Linked DNA regions of Schizosaccharomyces pombe. The main gene of each other region encodes a partner of the protein of the gene in region 4 in a complex. Each region holds a gene or a part of one and is shown on either strand. Other genes may lie near its edges.

Evidence for each region.
Region 1: SPOM_SPCC777.17C (region 4) and mrpl12 share a complex: the UniProt entries of both Schizosaccharomyces pombe proteins name them as parts of the mitochondrial large ribosomal subunit.
Region 2: SPOM_SPCC777.17C (region 4) and mrpl23 share a complex: the UniProt entries of both Schizosaccharomyces pombe proteins name them as parts of the mitochondrial large ribosomal subunit.
Region 3: SPOM_SPCC777.17C (region 4) and mrpl38 share a complex: the UniProt entries of both Schizosaccharomyces pombe proteins name them as parts of the mitochondrial large ribosomal subunit.

The regions. Positions count from the first base shown.
Region 1 is NC_003421.2:1,158,582-1,162,957, reverse strand, and holds mrpl12 (mitochondrial 54S ribosomal protein bL12m), read right to left. Parts: upstream 2,503-4,376; 5' UTR 2,449-2,502; coding exon 2,414-2,448; intron 2,365-2,413; coding exon 1,878-2,364; 3' UTR 1,623-1,877; coding exon of another isoform or gene 966-1,622; 3' UTR 642-965; downstream 1-641. Other genes in the region: protein Nro1, read left to right, coding at 1-89; Lsk1 complex gamma subunit lsg1, read left to right, coding at 966-1,622; ipk1 (inositol 1,3,4,5,6-pentakisphosphate (IP5) kinase), read right to left, coding at 2,832-4,376. UniProt on the Schizosaccharomyces pombe protein: Component of the mitochondrial ribosome (mitoribosome), a dedicated translation machinery responsible for the synthesis of mitochondrial genome-encoded proteins, including at least some of the essential transmembrane subunits of the mitochondrial respiratory chain.
Region 2 is NC_003423.3:4,217,711-4,221,134, forward strand, and holds mrpl23 (mitochondrial 54S ribosomal protein uL13m), read left to right. Parts: upstream 1-2,062; 5' UTR 2,063-2,192; coding exon 2,193-2,213; intron 2,214-2,255; coding exon 2,256-2,708; 3' UTR 2,709-2,906; downstream 2,907-3,424. Other genes in the region: mrz1 (ubiquitin-protein ligase E3), read left to right, coding at 964-1,770; scs2 (VAP family protein), read right to left, coding at 3,235-3,424. UniProt on the Schizosaccharomyces pombe protein: Component of the mitochondrial ribosome (mitoribosome), a dedicated translation machinery responsible for the synthesis of mitochondrial genome-encoded proteins, including at least some of the essential transmembrane subunits of the mitochondrial respiratory chain.
Region 3 is NC_003423.3:3,549,394-3,552,612, forward strand, and holds mrpl38 (putative mitochondrial ribosomal protein subunit L38), read left to right. Parts: upstream 1-1,950; 5' UTR 1,951-1,954; coding exon 1,955-1,996; intron 1,997-2,039; coding exon 2,040-2,097; intron 2,098-2,160; coding exon 2,161-2,441; 3' UTR 2,442-2,498; downstream 2,499-3,219. Other genes in the region: RNA-binding protein Cwf29, read right to left, coding at 1-393, 484-488; sorting nexin Snx3, read right to left, coding at 627-711, 792-988, 1,044-1,109, 1,159-1,242; SPOM_SPBC887.08 (uncharacterized protein), read left to right, coding at 2,725-2,850, 2,909-3,157. UniProt on the Schizosaccharomyces pombe protein: Component of the mitochondrial ribosome (mitoribosome), a dedicated translation machinery responsible for the synthesis of mitochondrial genome-encoded proteins, including at least some of the essential transmembrane subunits of the mitochondrial respiratory chain.
Region 4 is NC_003421.2:1,617,425-1,620,817, reverse strand, and holds SPOM_SPCC777.17C (mitochondrial ribosomal protein subunit L9), read left to right. Parts: upstream 1-1,759; coding exon 1,760-1,849; exon of another isoform or gene 1,850-1,898; coding exon 1,899-1,974; exon of another isoform or gene 1,975-2,104; coding exon 2,105-2,244; 3' UTR 2,245-2,672; downstream 2,673-3,393. Other genes in the region: retromer complex subunit Vps35, read right to left, coding at 1-1,262; SPOM_SPCC777.12C (ER stress response thioredoxin family membrane disulfide oxidoreductase), read left to right, coding at 2,772-3,050, 3,171-3,393. UniProt on the Schizosaccharomyces pombe protein: Component of the mitochondrial ribosome (mitoribosome), a dedicated translation machinery responsible for the synthesis of mitochondrial genome-encoded proteins, including at least some of the essential transmembrane subunits of the mitochondrial respiratory chain.

The DNA.
Region 1 (4,376 bases), 460 kb from region 4:
AAGCTTGCAATGCTATCAAGGAGGCTCAAGGATCAGGTGTTGAGTTAAGTCCTGATTATGTTGAGTTTGTAGAAGCTTATTCTGCTTAGGATCGCTTTTACTTGCAACTTGACGGGTGTATTTCCATTATATCATTATCCCGTTGTTATATTTTTCTCCTTGAACAATACATCCTGCATTTTTTTTCTCTTTTCGAGAGTATTTTTCTCCATTATATTTACTTTTTAGGCAAACCTTATAAGTTTGTCGCTGGCCATTTTAGATTTCAAAGCAGTTCTTTATTGAAAGGAAATGTTGATTTTGTATGTACGACTTAGTAGAGCGTATAAAAAAATAAAAATTGTTTACTGATTCATGGGTTTCATTTTACCATATAAGTAAGGTCGGTTTTTGTGCTTTTATTAAAGTATAGTAGTTATTCTTTCCCGCTATTTATACTCAGAGATCCTAACAGTTTGGTGAATGGTTATAACTTTATCAGGGCTATATAAAAATATCTTTGAAAATTTACTATTTCGCTGTTGAAATTACTAAAAAAGTAGTATTTAATAAAATGAGATTTTAGTTTCTTTAAAGGTACAGTAATAGTGTTTGAAATAAAGTAACATGCTACTTAAAGCAACAGATTTTGCAACATGCTAACAGTTTGAAGACCTCTTAATATTACTTATGCACTGAGTATATTTTAATTTATTTGAATCTGGAAAGGTTCAACGTCCTTTCGCAAAATAGTATCCCAACGCTTTTTTTAGTCTCAAATTTCAGAGATTGCAGCTTCAAGAATAGATGAACACTTGGCAAAGGAAGTTTATTCTATATTTGAAATTTAAGACAACACACATTATTATTATTTAAAAAATTATTCTTGATGTTTTTGGAATTCAAAGTTCACGAAGTATAAGAAAAACCATCATAACAAAAATCGTTGTTGCACTCGCAATTACCAATATACTTGCAATAATAAAATGGATCCATTTGAGGGCCGCATGACATTTCTACAGCTTTTGGGAAAATTGAATGCATCGCAATTCTCTCAAATTAAACCCGCGCAATTTGCAATTAAGCATCTAGACTTGGAAGAAGACTTATATTCATGTATATGGGAGGAACTAGAGTCAGGTTCGTTCAATACAAGAGTGAATATCATGTACTTTGTGGACACACTCTGTGAGATGTGCTTAAAAAATGGCCTTACAGGTGGATATCTTAATATGATTAGTAGAGATATCTGTAAGCTAGTCCAGAACGTAGCTCCTATAGGAGCTGCTGGAGCTGCTAACGCTCCAGAGGTTAGAAAAGTACTCCAGTCTTTGCATGAAAAGAAGGTAATCGATGATAATCAATATAAAGATGCTATGGCTACGGTAGAAGCCCATGAACAAGCGAGCAAGTCAGGTGATACCAGTACTTCAGGAGCCATTTCAAAAAACGACATTCTTAAGAGGATTGAAGAAGACAGAGAGCGACACAAAAGAATGCGTGAAAACATTTGGGCTATTTCAGAACCAGAGTTAGAAGCGGAAATTGCATGGAACACTACCCAAGGAATTACTGAAAGCGATTTGGAATCCCTAAAGGATGAATACGAAAAGTTTAATGAATGTCTTCATGCAACTTCCTGAACCGAAGAGCGAAAACATAGAGTGTAACCCAAATAGAATAAAAACATATAATTAACTAATAATTTTGGAGTATTTTATACATTACCTAATATCTGGTTTTTTTAGAGATGATGAATTTTCCCTCCGTAGCTTAGTTTTTATGGGAATCCAAGAAAGTAAATCGTGTCACAATGTCAAAGCAATAACAAAAAGGTTGCCCAAAGAATTTGAATGGCGGAAAAGCATAGAAATGAAATTTTTTATAAACAACCCAGTTTATTCGAGGACTACTTTACAAGAAAGTTTCTCTAACTTCGATTTTATAGCTTCAGCATCCTCTTTCAAAATATTTTCTTTCAAAACCTTTGGAGCACTTTCAACGAATTTCTTTGCGTCCACAAGAGATAATCCCAAAAGAGACTTCACCTCTTTGATCACCTTGGCTTTCGAACCAGCATCAAACGATTCGAGTTTCAAATTCCAGGTGGTTTTTTCCTCTTTCTTTTCCTCAGGAGCTTTCTCTTCAGAAGGAGCGGCTGAAGCTACTGCTGGAGCCACTGCTGCCATCGGAGCTATTTCAGCAATGTTTAACTTCTCCTTTAATTGCTTTACAAGTTCAGACGTCTCTAACAATGATAGAGAGCTTATTTTGTCAACCATTTCCCCAATTTGGGCATTATTGTTTTGTACAGATGCGGCAGCTCGAAATGATCGCGTGTTTACCAACGATCTTGCCCAGTTCTTACTGGAAGATAAAGCACGTCTTTTAAAGTTAGTATAAATTTGTTAATTAAAAATAATTACAATCTTACAGATTTCTTGTTTGGCGTGATGCGATGCGAAACATGCTGTATTTTAAAATTATACTTGAGGTGAAGTAAGGTGCAAGTGAGATGGGGGTTGGCAAGTTAAGTATAGTAACTACAACTTTTAGGTGATCATTCATCAAATATCTAAAATATGTTCAATGGATCTTATTAATTTTTCATTAGTAATAATTAGAAAATAAACTAACCTCGTAGTAAAAAATGCTCTAGAATTATTAAGTGTTCAACAGTTAGTTGAAGAGAACAAATAAATCTAACCCTTTATTTTTATGCTTTTATCTCCCTGTTAATTATCAGGCATATAACAAATAAAACAAAAATGCATAATGTATTGAAATATTGCAATAAATCCACAAATTGATGGTGGTATTACATATTAGAAAAAAAATTAACAATGAGATAATTACTTTATGCTGCTCCGGCATGCTTTGTCAGTAGACTTCATCCCACGACCATAGTACCAACCGCCTTCAATCAAATTCCTTTCATCACGTTCCCATTTAGACATTTTGGTATTCATGTCTTTAGGATCTAAATCTAGTAATGTTATGTGATCTTTACCAATGTATAAAGTCACATCTCGAAGGGTCATCGCTAACGCAACATCAGTACGAGAGTATTGCTCTTGTAGGTCACGAAGCTTCCGTAGTATACCAGACTGAAACAATCTCATTGCGATATCAGGACTCACAAATCCTTGAAGACAGCACAAAAACTTGGGCCAATTGTTGAAATCAAGCTGTAGAGGACAAAAACCAACGGGTCTACCACGCATACGGCTAAGGGCACACGTTCGACAAACAACCCAGTCAGGTGGAGCGGCAGGGGACTGAGTCAACCATTTTGGTTTCATTTCAATTCCATCTTTGAGATCTTTCATTACCAAACAGTATTGCTCATTTAAATTTAAATAAATACCAGAAGCATTTTGGGCCGCCAGCAAAAAATCCCTAGTAACTGGCTGCAAAAAAACCTCAATTAAAAAGCTTTCCATTCCAGCAAACAAAGGATAAATTACATTTTGATAGTATTCATAAACTTGTTCTGTAGTAAAAACCTGTCCTCGACGTCGAAGACGAATTACCTTGTCTTGAAAGTAAGGATTTTTACCAACATACTCAAACACCACATTCGCACTTCCTGAGGCAAGGTATGCCCATTCAGAAATCACCAGGGATTTACCGGTGGAGGAATGATTGGAGATAACGGATGTTGGTGAATAAGGTGCAGGGGATTTAAAAAGCGGATTCGATATAATTGGAACTTGAAAATTACTACTAGCAACCGATTCATCTTGGGACTCTACACCAGAAGAAAGGGCTTTCATGGATGGAGGACGCGACATAATTGGAGTTGAAGGAGTATGTGTGTCAACGGGAGAATTTGTAACAGAAGAGCTAGCGGTACTAGCCATAGGCGAAAGGCTTACCTGAGACGCTGAAGTATGCAAATTCTGAGCGATGAGAGAATTCATGGCATCAATTTTTCCAGCTTCCCACTCTCTATTTGATAAAACATCACCAGATTTTGGAAGTTCTACGGGAGGACGGTTGTTGTTTACGGCAATTAAGGAAATGCTTTCAGCAGCCTGGCAAACTGAGGAAAACTCAACGAGCCACGTTTGGGGAATATCGTCTTGAAAACAATCCCAAGGGCGAACAATGTTGTGCATTTTTCGAAACATTTGAAGTTGCAAGCAGTAAAAATGCTTCATAAGTTGTCCAAAAAAAACACGACTTTTTGCAATAAGAGTTGGGAAGGACAAAGTTAAATGCTTCTGAAGGTCATCCAATTCACCATTGACACGGACAAGCTGGCTTTGTAATGCTTTAATTTTACTTTTTTTGGTTTCAGGATCAGGCAATTCGTAAACAACCAATAATTCTTTTTGAATTTTTTCAAGTTCTTTTACTTTTTTATCTCTTCTTTTAATCATTTCAACTGCCTT
Region 2 (3,424 bases), on a different chromosome or scaffold from region 4:
TAAGCAATAATCTTAAAAGGCAAATATTGAAATCAAAGATACGTAGCTGTTTCAACTATAAACAAGTACATTCCAAATTTTAAATCTAGAGATTAGGGTTTTCCACGGTAGTTTAAAGAGCGAAAAGGCATTCAGATGAACAAAAGATGCTAAGTTTTTTAGCTAAACCCGCTTATACTTTCTTATTTCTCGAGGACTTTAGCCTCTCTACTTACCTAAAAGTTTCTGTACAGTGCAATACAGGTTACTTCGTTATATTTTTTAACTGTTGACTACGCAGTTCGGTATCTGTTTAACGATACGAAAAATTGCGGTACGTTTCTCTAGCGACCTACAATATAGCGGTATGCAATATTTAACTAACAATGTATATTTATTGTTATAAGAAGTCTATTAGTATCGGTCACCGATATAGCTAATAACTGAGCTGAGGAACGAGGTTCAGTGGTAGCTCTATTTACAATCTTTCTAATAGTTTTTAGCAATTTATTTATGTATGCAGAAAAGCAATTTATCCGCATCTATCAGCAAACGAATCTTAAGTAATATCTTAGCATATGACATATAGTGATACGCAACGTACTGTATCATAGCTAGTGTAGTTCTGCTAACATTAACATGTACTTCTTTGTTTGTATTATGCATATAGCATTAACCGCGTTAAGCTAAGTTAACGTTACGAAGAGCGTACAGAAGAGATTCAGTTTAGTAACTGCGAATTGTTAATTGTTCTCATAACTTAGCCTACATCTAGTGTAAGACGACGATTGTGAAAATTCACCTTAAAAAATTCAACAAGTCTTGCAAATTATGACTTGAATAATTTTCCATTAAGAAGAATAAGCACACAATGTTTTTTGATGACAAGATAACTTGACATTCTGCCATTCATGCGGTTTCATACACATCAATTAATTTAGTGCATAAATACAATATAACAAGTTATTAAATTTTAGAAGAAGAATGAAAAAGCAATTCCTTGTACGTAAAAACTCGTCAAATTCTCGCTACCTTCGTCGAGATTGCGTTATATGTTTACAAAAAGATGGTCTTCGGGCACAGCTATCTCCATGTGGGCATGACCAGTTCGATTATTCTTGCATATGTCGCTGGATGGATCAATCCTTGACATGTCCCATCTGTAAGAGACACGTAGATTGTGTGTTTTATGGATTTCATGGGTCAAGTTTGTATAAGAAGTGGTATACTCAATCTTTGGGGTCAAATCAGTATTCGATTTCACGACAATTACTACGGCAGCCTTCATTTTCCTCCAGCGAAAACACTGACAGATTGGCCGATTTGCTACGCGTACGACGTTTCATCTATCAAAAGGCATGGAAAAGCTATGAAAATCCCTCGCTTTCATCACATAGGCAATATCAAATACCCACTCCTATCCAACTAGCTTCTAGCGCATCTTTATTAAAGAAAGTGGAAAGCTTTATTGCTAAAGAACTTCTCTTGTTTGAATATTTAGATGGACATCAAATTAACTTTATACAAATCTTTTTGATGGGTCTCTTACGAGTTCAGAATATTCAACATCCACAAACCATTGATGAATTAGCGGAATTTATAGGCCATGAAGAGTCCTCTATACTCCTCCATGAATTGCAAAGATATTTACAATTCCGTCCATTGTCGATAAGCAGCTACTTGTATAGCAAGCGATATTTGTATGGTCCGGAAGGCTTAACAATGGTTCAGCTGTTGAGTCAAATTGAAAACATTCAGCATGAATCTGGTCCTGAGACGGAAAATTCGTAATCAAGCGTTAATTGTATATTATTGCAATTTACTGTGATTCTTTGGGCTTATCAAAAATTAGTTTTATCATTGTATCGTTCATTGCCTTATTTTTTCTAATATATACAAATGGTATTTTTTGAAGCAATAGCTATTAGCTTTATCATGATTAGTAAAGGAGGTTCGTATTATGAATTGAAAAATCAATATTTAAGAAATAATAAATAAAACAACATTTTTGAAAAATAGAAATTTTGTAGGTAACAGTTACCTTACTACAGTTGCTTAGCATCCAATATTTACCCACACCTACAAGCTTGAGGAAACATTATTTGAGCAATTTTCCTACTTCTCTTTTATTAGAAACCACTGATATTGTACTGTCGCTTTAAGAGAAAAATCAGAAGGAACTGAGGATTTTATGATATAGAAATCTCAACGCGATGTCAACGTTGAATGGACAAGTATGAAATTAGTTTGACAGTTTCTTTTACTAACAATATCAGACAGCATTGGCTTACGCCAAAGTTTGGCATCATGTTTCTGCAAAAAATGTTCCTCTAGGTAGGCTGGCTTCCCAAATTGCAACTACTCTTATGGGCAAGCACAAACCCATTTATCACCCTGCAGCAGACTGTGGAGATGTCGTAGTAGTCACTGACTGTTCTGAAATTGGGATTTCTGGTCGAAAACTCGAAAATCATAAATATTATTCACATTCGGGTCAGCCTGGTCATCTTAAAGAGTGGACGATGGAAGAAATGGCTGCGAAACGGGGGCACAAGGATTTGTTGAGAAGAGCAGTTGGTGGAATGCTTCCAAGAAATAAGCTTTGGGATAGGAGAATGAAACGTCTTTATATTTACGATGGAGCTGAACACCCTTATAAGGCAAACATATTTCGTTCCTACCATAATCCTGTAAGTTCGCAAATTGCGAAGGAATTATTCTCGAAATAAGTGTTTAAAATCTCCTTTAATTTTAAAAGGTAGTTCAAAGAACAAAAGCCATATCCCTACTCACTTAAATTTCATTGATTTTTTGCATTAATGTTTGAACATTCCACAATGTCGTATGCCCTAAAAAGCTAACACATTTTAATATTGTTCTTTCCAAAAAAAATTATTTTATATAAATTAATGTTATTGTATTCACTATAAGAAGCTGTAATGTATTTAAAGACACATTTACGTTTGTGAACTGGTAAGAATGAATGTCTGGTAACCATAAGAGGACTACAACTTTTCTTGCGAGTAAAAAGTAGATAACATGAGACGTCGACATAAATAACGACATTTGGAAATTATCTCCAAAGCCAGATAAACGCGCTAAAAAGTACCCTATCGTTGTGAAGAGCAAACAAATTCAACAAACGTCAACCTAAAACCTTGCTTAGCAAAGGCCATATAAAGTAATAAAATCAAGAGCCATTAACTTAGGGAGAAGATTTTACACTTCTTATTAAACATATCTACGCTTTACATTTTAAAAGAAAAGATAGCCAATAAGGAAGAAAATCAGGCAAAGAATGATAACAATATTGGGAGGAATTCCTGGAGATTCGGTTAAAGAAGCACCAGTGGAACTCGAAGGGTCAGCTGAATAAGAGGGCTTGATTTGTTCCAAGGCGTTGTCGGAACTATGAGCACCTGCAGCAGGTTTTGCCCCTTGTAAA
Region 3 (3,219 bases), on a different chromosome or scaffold from region 4:
GAAAGAGAACTACCTGATTCGCCTAACGGTACTAAGTTGGCAGGTTCTTTTTCTTTTTGCGGTACTTTGTAGCTAGCAACGTGATCAACACGAACCAATCTGTCAAGTAACTTTACATTCGTCATATTGTCAACGGCAAGGACTGTCGAACGTTGATCCTCATATTTTAGAAAGGCGAAGCCTTTCGATTTTCCGGTTTCTTTGTCGCGCACTAAATTAATATCCACTGGCTCGCCAAACTCAGAAAACACACATAAAATATCATCTTCGTTCAAATCAAAATCTAAGTTGCCGATGTAAATATATGCACTATCACTATAATCTTGGTGCCAAGAACTGCTAAAAGGTTTATCCAACTCTTGCTCGTTTAAACGCTCAATTTGACGAATGGAGCTACTTTTGTTAATTTTAAAATTAAAAAACGAAAACAGCGAAAAGATGAATCGGATTTTTGCTATATTTTAGCCTCAATAGAAAACTTACTTCATAACAACCTAAGGTATTTTAAATGGTAATTAAACTTTGTAACAGATTGATTTCCAAATTTTTCTTTTAAAATAAAAAAAAAGATTGACAAAAATTAACAGTTGGAGGGCAAAATGGAGAAAAACAAGTTAGCGGCGGGTTTATGGCGTAGGCTTGAATTCCGGGCTTTGTAAAAAAGAAGATAAAACACGAGAATGGGTTTGAATAAGAGGATGTCCAGCAACTCTACATAATAATGTATTAGTTTTTGTGCAATTTAAAACGCTCTTTGGGGCAATAAGGCAAAATTAACATTCAATACTTACAGTCGTAAAAAATTTTCCAAACCTTGTCTACGTTCTTCGATAACATCATCTCTAAATCTTTGAGTGAATATCTTTCCTGGAAGTGGTGGAATTGAAACACGACCGGACTCTCTTTCAAGCATATCGTGAAATTTCTCGAATTCGCTGTAACGTCGACGAACGCTAGAATTATGTAGACGAAAATAGGGCATATTGGTCTACAAAAATGAGTTAATAATCTGCTATCAGAAGATGAATTTCAGTGGTACCTACCCGACAAACAATTTCATAAGTAGTAAACATGTTTCTTCCAATACCGTGAGTTTGTGGATTTATAACCTAAAATAACATCTATTAGAAATATTTCGAAATAATAAAGTAAACATACATCAATTTCAAGGATGTTTTCAGGAACATCATACATTTGTTGAGTAGTTTGCTGCCTGATTTCCGGTCTACTTAATTTATCCATTTATTTACCCTTATTACTCTTAAGAGCGATATCCAATATTATTTTACTGTTTAACAAGTAATAGTTGAAATTTTGAAGAAGTTTAAAAGTTTCGATACAAGGTGTAGTGTCTAGCTCAGATACGGGTACGGCTAATGAGATTCATAATCGGATCGCAAATTAGTAAGGCGTTTACTGTAAACATATCGCAGAGCATTTTTTCAAACTGCGTCGTCTAAAGATGAGAATGATAGTTCATTTGCTTCCAAAAAATAAAATGGATTCACTAACGTCCAAATCCTCCTCTCACTTTCAACAAAATTAACGAGTAATACAAAATCAAATATGTAGCATACAATCCATTATGATATTTTAATATGATAAGAGCAATTGCTAGTCAATATCACATTTTTGCTTTAATGACTATTCCACAACTCCATGCATGATGAAGAATTTGATTAAAACATGTGTAACAAGCAAAACATCAGAAGGTTAAAGCAAGATAACAGGTTATGACAAACAATTTGCTTGGAATAATTTCATATTTGAATGCATCTAATCAAATCGCTTTTTTTTTAATACAAACAGTTGTTTTTATTTATATATTTTGCGATGTGTTACATACTACGATATGCCAACTAACGTCAAATACCAAATTCTAATATTACGCATAGTGTAATTTATAGTGGAAGCGAGTACGTGAATGTATGGTCAAGTACTTGAATCTTTAGCAATGATCGGACTTAAAGGTATACTCAAAGTTATCGACAATTCCGTAAGTTTAAAATATTACTATTTGTACTAATAAGATGGAAAAGGGTGCTACCTTAGCTGAGTGCATTCGTGTAGTTCGCGCGGGAAAATTCGCTTCACTTGGTAAGTAGCACGAAGTGATCTTTTGTTTATATTCGACTAACATCACCTTTTTTTAAAAAACAGGTGATGAAGTGGTAGTAGTGGTAAAAAAGGCACGAAGCGGTTCATCAGTTACTGCTGCTAATAAAGTTAAACGCGGTGATATCCACCATGCTATCATTGTTCGGACGAAATCACCAGTTCGAAGACCCGATGGTCGTTATGTTCGTTTTGATGATAATGCCTGCGTCTTGGTTAATAAGGAGTGTGAGCCTCTGGGAACCCGTATCTTGTCAGTCGTTGCCAACGAGCTCAGAACAAAACATCATACTAAAATAGCATCTCTTGCTCCACGAACCATCTGAAAAGGGTATTGTAATGTTAATATTTCACTTAATTAAAATATATTTTTTAATTTTCTATTCTACGTCTAATTAAGGGACCTTGTCTCTTCAGCAAACACTTTTTACCTGATAGCCAATTAAGATTTTGCTTTTTTGGAGTTTTGTTACTCGTAAGCATTGTGGGGTTAAAAGGTTTTTACTACACACTTTTTTAGTAAAATACAGCTGTAGCAGGCTTTATTATATAGTCCATTATCTGTTAAATATATCTGATCGATCAAAAGAATTTAATGTTCTAGTAAGAATGGATTTGCTGGCGATTGATTTGGATTTTGATGTTAGTGAGTCAAAGCTTGAACGGAATAAGCGATTAAAACAGAAAGTAAGCATTGAAACTGATGGATGGACTCCAAGAGTTCAATGTTTTGGTGTATGTTACTCATTTTTTACTCCCAATTTATTGTCTATGATTTTAACAGATTATTCAGCATCTTAGTAAAAATGGCGTCGTCCTCGGTGAAGAAGCCTATATTTTAGAGCAATCAAAATTTGCAGCGGAAGAACAATATTATCTGGGAAACTATTCCTTAGCTAAAAAGTTTGCATTTCAAGCACTTGATGTTCCAACTGATAGTTCCAGCATTGAGTACCACAGACTGAGTTCAGGCGAAATCAATGAAATTGAAGACATCATCAGAAGATGCGAAATGAAACTTGAAAATAAGCAAAGCAATTAATTAGAAAAAATTTTTGTCTTGTCAAAGAGTACCTACCCAAAACTACACACTCTGTCTAATTT
Region 4 (3,393 bases):
GAGGGCTGGTTAATGATATGTTCGTTAATGTATTGAAAAACACGATCTGCATACTGGGGTTTATAAGGGTAACACCGCAAGAAAAAATTGAGGATGCTAGAAAGTATAGAAACAATACAATCTAGTGGAAGACCACTACGAGATTGAATAACTTCAACAACATGTGACCATAAAACCTCTTGAATAGCATATTCTGGAGGAATTACTTTATCTCCAGGGCATTCTTGCTCGTCTTTTTGCTGTACTTCCTCATTAATTTTTATGTCTCCTAATTTTTCGGTTACAGTCTCAGATTCATCTTCATTAGAAGAATCAGATTCATATTCACGTTGGACATAGTCCGTAAGGCGATTCAACATAGCGACCACAAGTTGGGTTACGTTTACGCTTGGAGAAAGCTTTATGACCGTACCGAAATATGTATCGAGGGTTTGAAGATGCATATTATCAGAAAACGCCTGACAAATTACTTCAACAAGATACTCTTGTGCAAGTGAGTCCCGACATTCAATAATTTGCTCGATTATGGCAGGAAGGACATGATCTCGGTAAGTGTCTATATCGAGGTTTAACTGAGATAATCGAACCAAATTCAGCCCAACAAGAACCTTTAGCTCATTCCTTTCTTGGGTACGTTTGGAAAATTCTTTAATTGGACCAAGATGTTGGATTCTAACCCACAATTTATTCATTTCCGTAAAGTTGATAACTAAAAATTTAACAGAATCGAGTACGGTTCCTTTGCGAGATGCATCTTCCTCATCTTCTGATCCCAAAGGTAATCCTTTTCTTGTTTGGGTAAGCAGATAATGGCGCAAAAAAAGACCTCTTAACGGATGCTGAACACCTCTACACATATCTAACAAATCATTCATAATTTCACGTACAAGGGCATTAGGCGTTTCCAAATAAGCGCTTCCAACGGTTATCATGAGATATAAACGAGGGACAATACTACCGGCATATTGAACAAGTTCATAAAGGTCCATTAGGTTGTGAGTACCGTTCAGATGCGTTTCCAGCAATGTGCCCCCAAGTAAACGCAAGCTTTCCATATTAAACATATACAGCTCATAGTATTGTTTTGGAGTAAGTGCAGAATTTCTCATTTCCACGAGACTAATACTGCAATTACGAAATGCATCCATCAATCGTCCTGTCTGCAAGTTTCTTTGCATCAGCCTACTAGACTGCTTGCAAATATTTAAGGACTCTTCCAAGCTCCTTGTAATTTCTTCGTTAGCAGTATTAATTCCGTTCATAGAGCCCTAAATATCCACTTCCAAGTGTTTCAATTTAACCAACGTAATTGTAATTTCAGTATAGTTTTACTAGCGGCCCAACTTTCGAACAGAAAAACAGGATGTTTGTTATTCTTTTTAATTCACTAATATTAGCAATGTTTTTTATAATGGGTTCGTTGAAATGTCTACAAATAAAGTTGGTGGTACTGGTTGAGATATATTGGTAGATCTTGAAGTATTGCGCGCAGCACAGCTTGGAATCGCGCTTCGCTCAATTTCAAATTGACCATTTTCATATCACAAATATCGCGCCTAAATAGTATATTATTTTGATAACAATTAAAAGAAACTATAAATCTAATCATCGGAAAGGTTCACACTACAAGATTCGTCTTAGACCTCTAAACTAACGGTTTTTGAATTCTACATTCAATTGAGAATTTATTTAAGCTGCTTTTCTTTTTATTTTGTAAAAACTTTCTTGACGGATTTCTTGGTGCACCCATTTAATTGAAATGAGTATTATGAAACCGACAACTCGATTTTTTCGCTTCAATTCCCTTGAACTAGCAGTCTCACCTTTTCAAAGAATTTATGGGCAACTGGTATGTCAAGCTTATAAAAAAAATCACCGTTACTTACACAGTTATTTAGAGGTTTCTTCGTAAACAGCCAAAACCGTTTTTGGTAAAACTGTTAAACAACGAAGTTTCAAAGCTAGGAAGGCAAGGTATGCTAAATTTTTCATAATTATAATGTTCTTCATTTCAAACCTATAATAGGGAGGTAGTGGTTACATCCTTTTATTATAAGAAATGCATTCTTTTAGCCGTCGTAGGAAACTACTAACTTTACAAAAGGTGATGTCGTCTCAGTGACAAGGGGATATTATCGAAATACACTTTTCCCCAAGAAGCAAGCGATTGCTGTTGATGCCTTAAAATCTATGAAAGCACATTTGTTACAAGGGTCCGAATTCTCGACGAAAACGAAGGAATAATAATACCTAAACTCTCACTTAGTTCAATCAACATAAAAAGAATTTATTGAGTTTATTAGTGGATTAATTAAGGCTTAGCTAGCTGCAATTTGAACAATTCTAGCTTTTCATTACGAGATATTGTTACATTACTAACAAGAATTACGAAGTATTCAGCATTGACTTTTTTCTATAAAAAAATATAAAAAATTTAATTAAAAGGCTTCACTAGAAGCGTAGTCTCTTTCTGAGTTTGAATATTATCGTTATTGTAATATTTTATCAGGGTTGATGCTTAGTGTTTCTCAATTACAATAACAAGCTTTGGATTTTCCTATAATAGTATAGTTAATATGAAATTTAAATCCTTGAATGGTAAACGTTTACTGCGTATTGTGCGGCCATCGTTTCTGCTCTATCAGCTCGTCTAGCATCTTCTTCTCACAGCTACCAACTATTTTGAGTTGGATCCAAAATCATCTCATAACTCGTGTTTATTATTGCTAAAGCAGCAGAGAAAATATTTTTCATTACCTTATTCAGCTTCAATGAAAATTAATTTGTTTTTTGTGTTTCTATTTGAACTTCTGCATTTCGTGGCAGCTTATAGTTGTGAAGGAGATGAATCAGCTGCCATTGAAGCTATGAATGTCTTACAGGTACCGTATGAAAAATACAACACAGACCCAGTTTGCGCTTTTGACAATTCCACCGTTGTCGAACTTTCAGATAAAACCTGGGATCATGTCATTGAATCTGGCAAATGGTTTGTGCAGTTGACTGCTGAAGGCTGTGCTAACTGTACTCTTGGAGAGCTACTTTTTAACGTAAGTAATGGACTGCATTTAATGTTGTCCAAATGCTCTTGTTATGAGATTGAATTTTGAGCCTCGGAAATAAATTAAACCATCTTTGGATTTAATTGAATCTGTACTAACTAATTTTAGGACCTTTCGCATGCTTTTCATGAAAAATATCCGGATGTCCACTTTGCCCGTGTTTACTTGAGCAGTAGCCTCGAACTTTCTGTACGCTTACTCATTTCTCGGATTCCTTCTTATTATTTCATCGATAATCAAAATTTCTACCGTGTTTCTCCTCAGGTTCTTCCCAAGAACAAGGCAATCGCCTTATATGAAAAAGACGGGTTCAAAAGTATGAAAAAAGAGC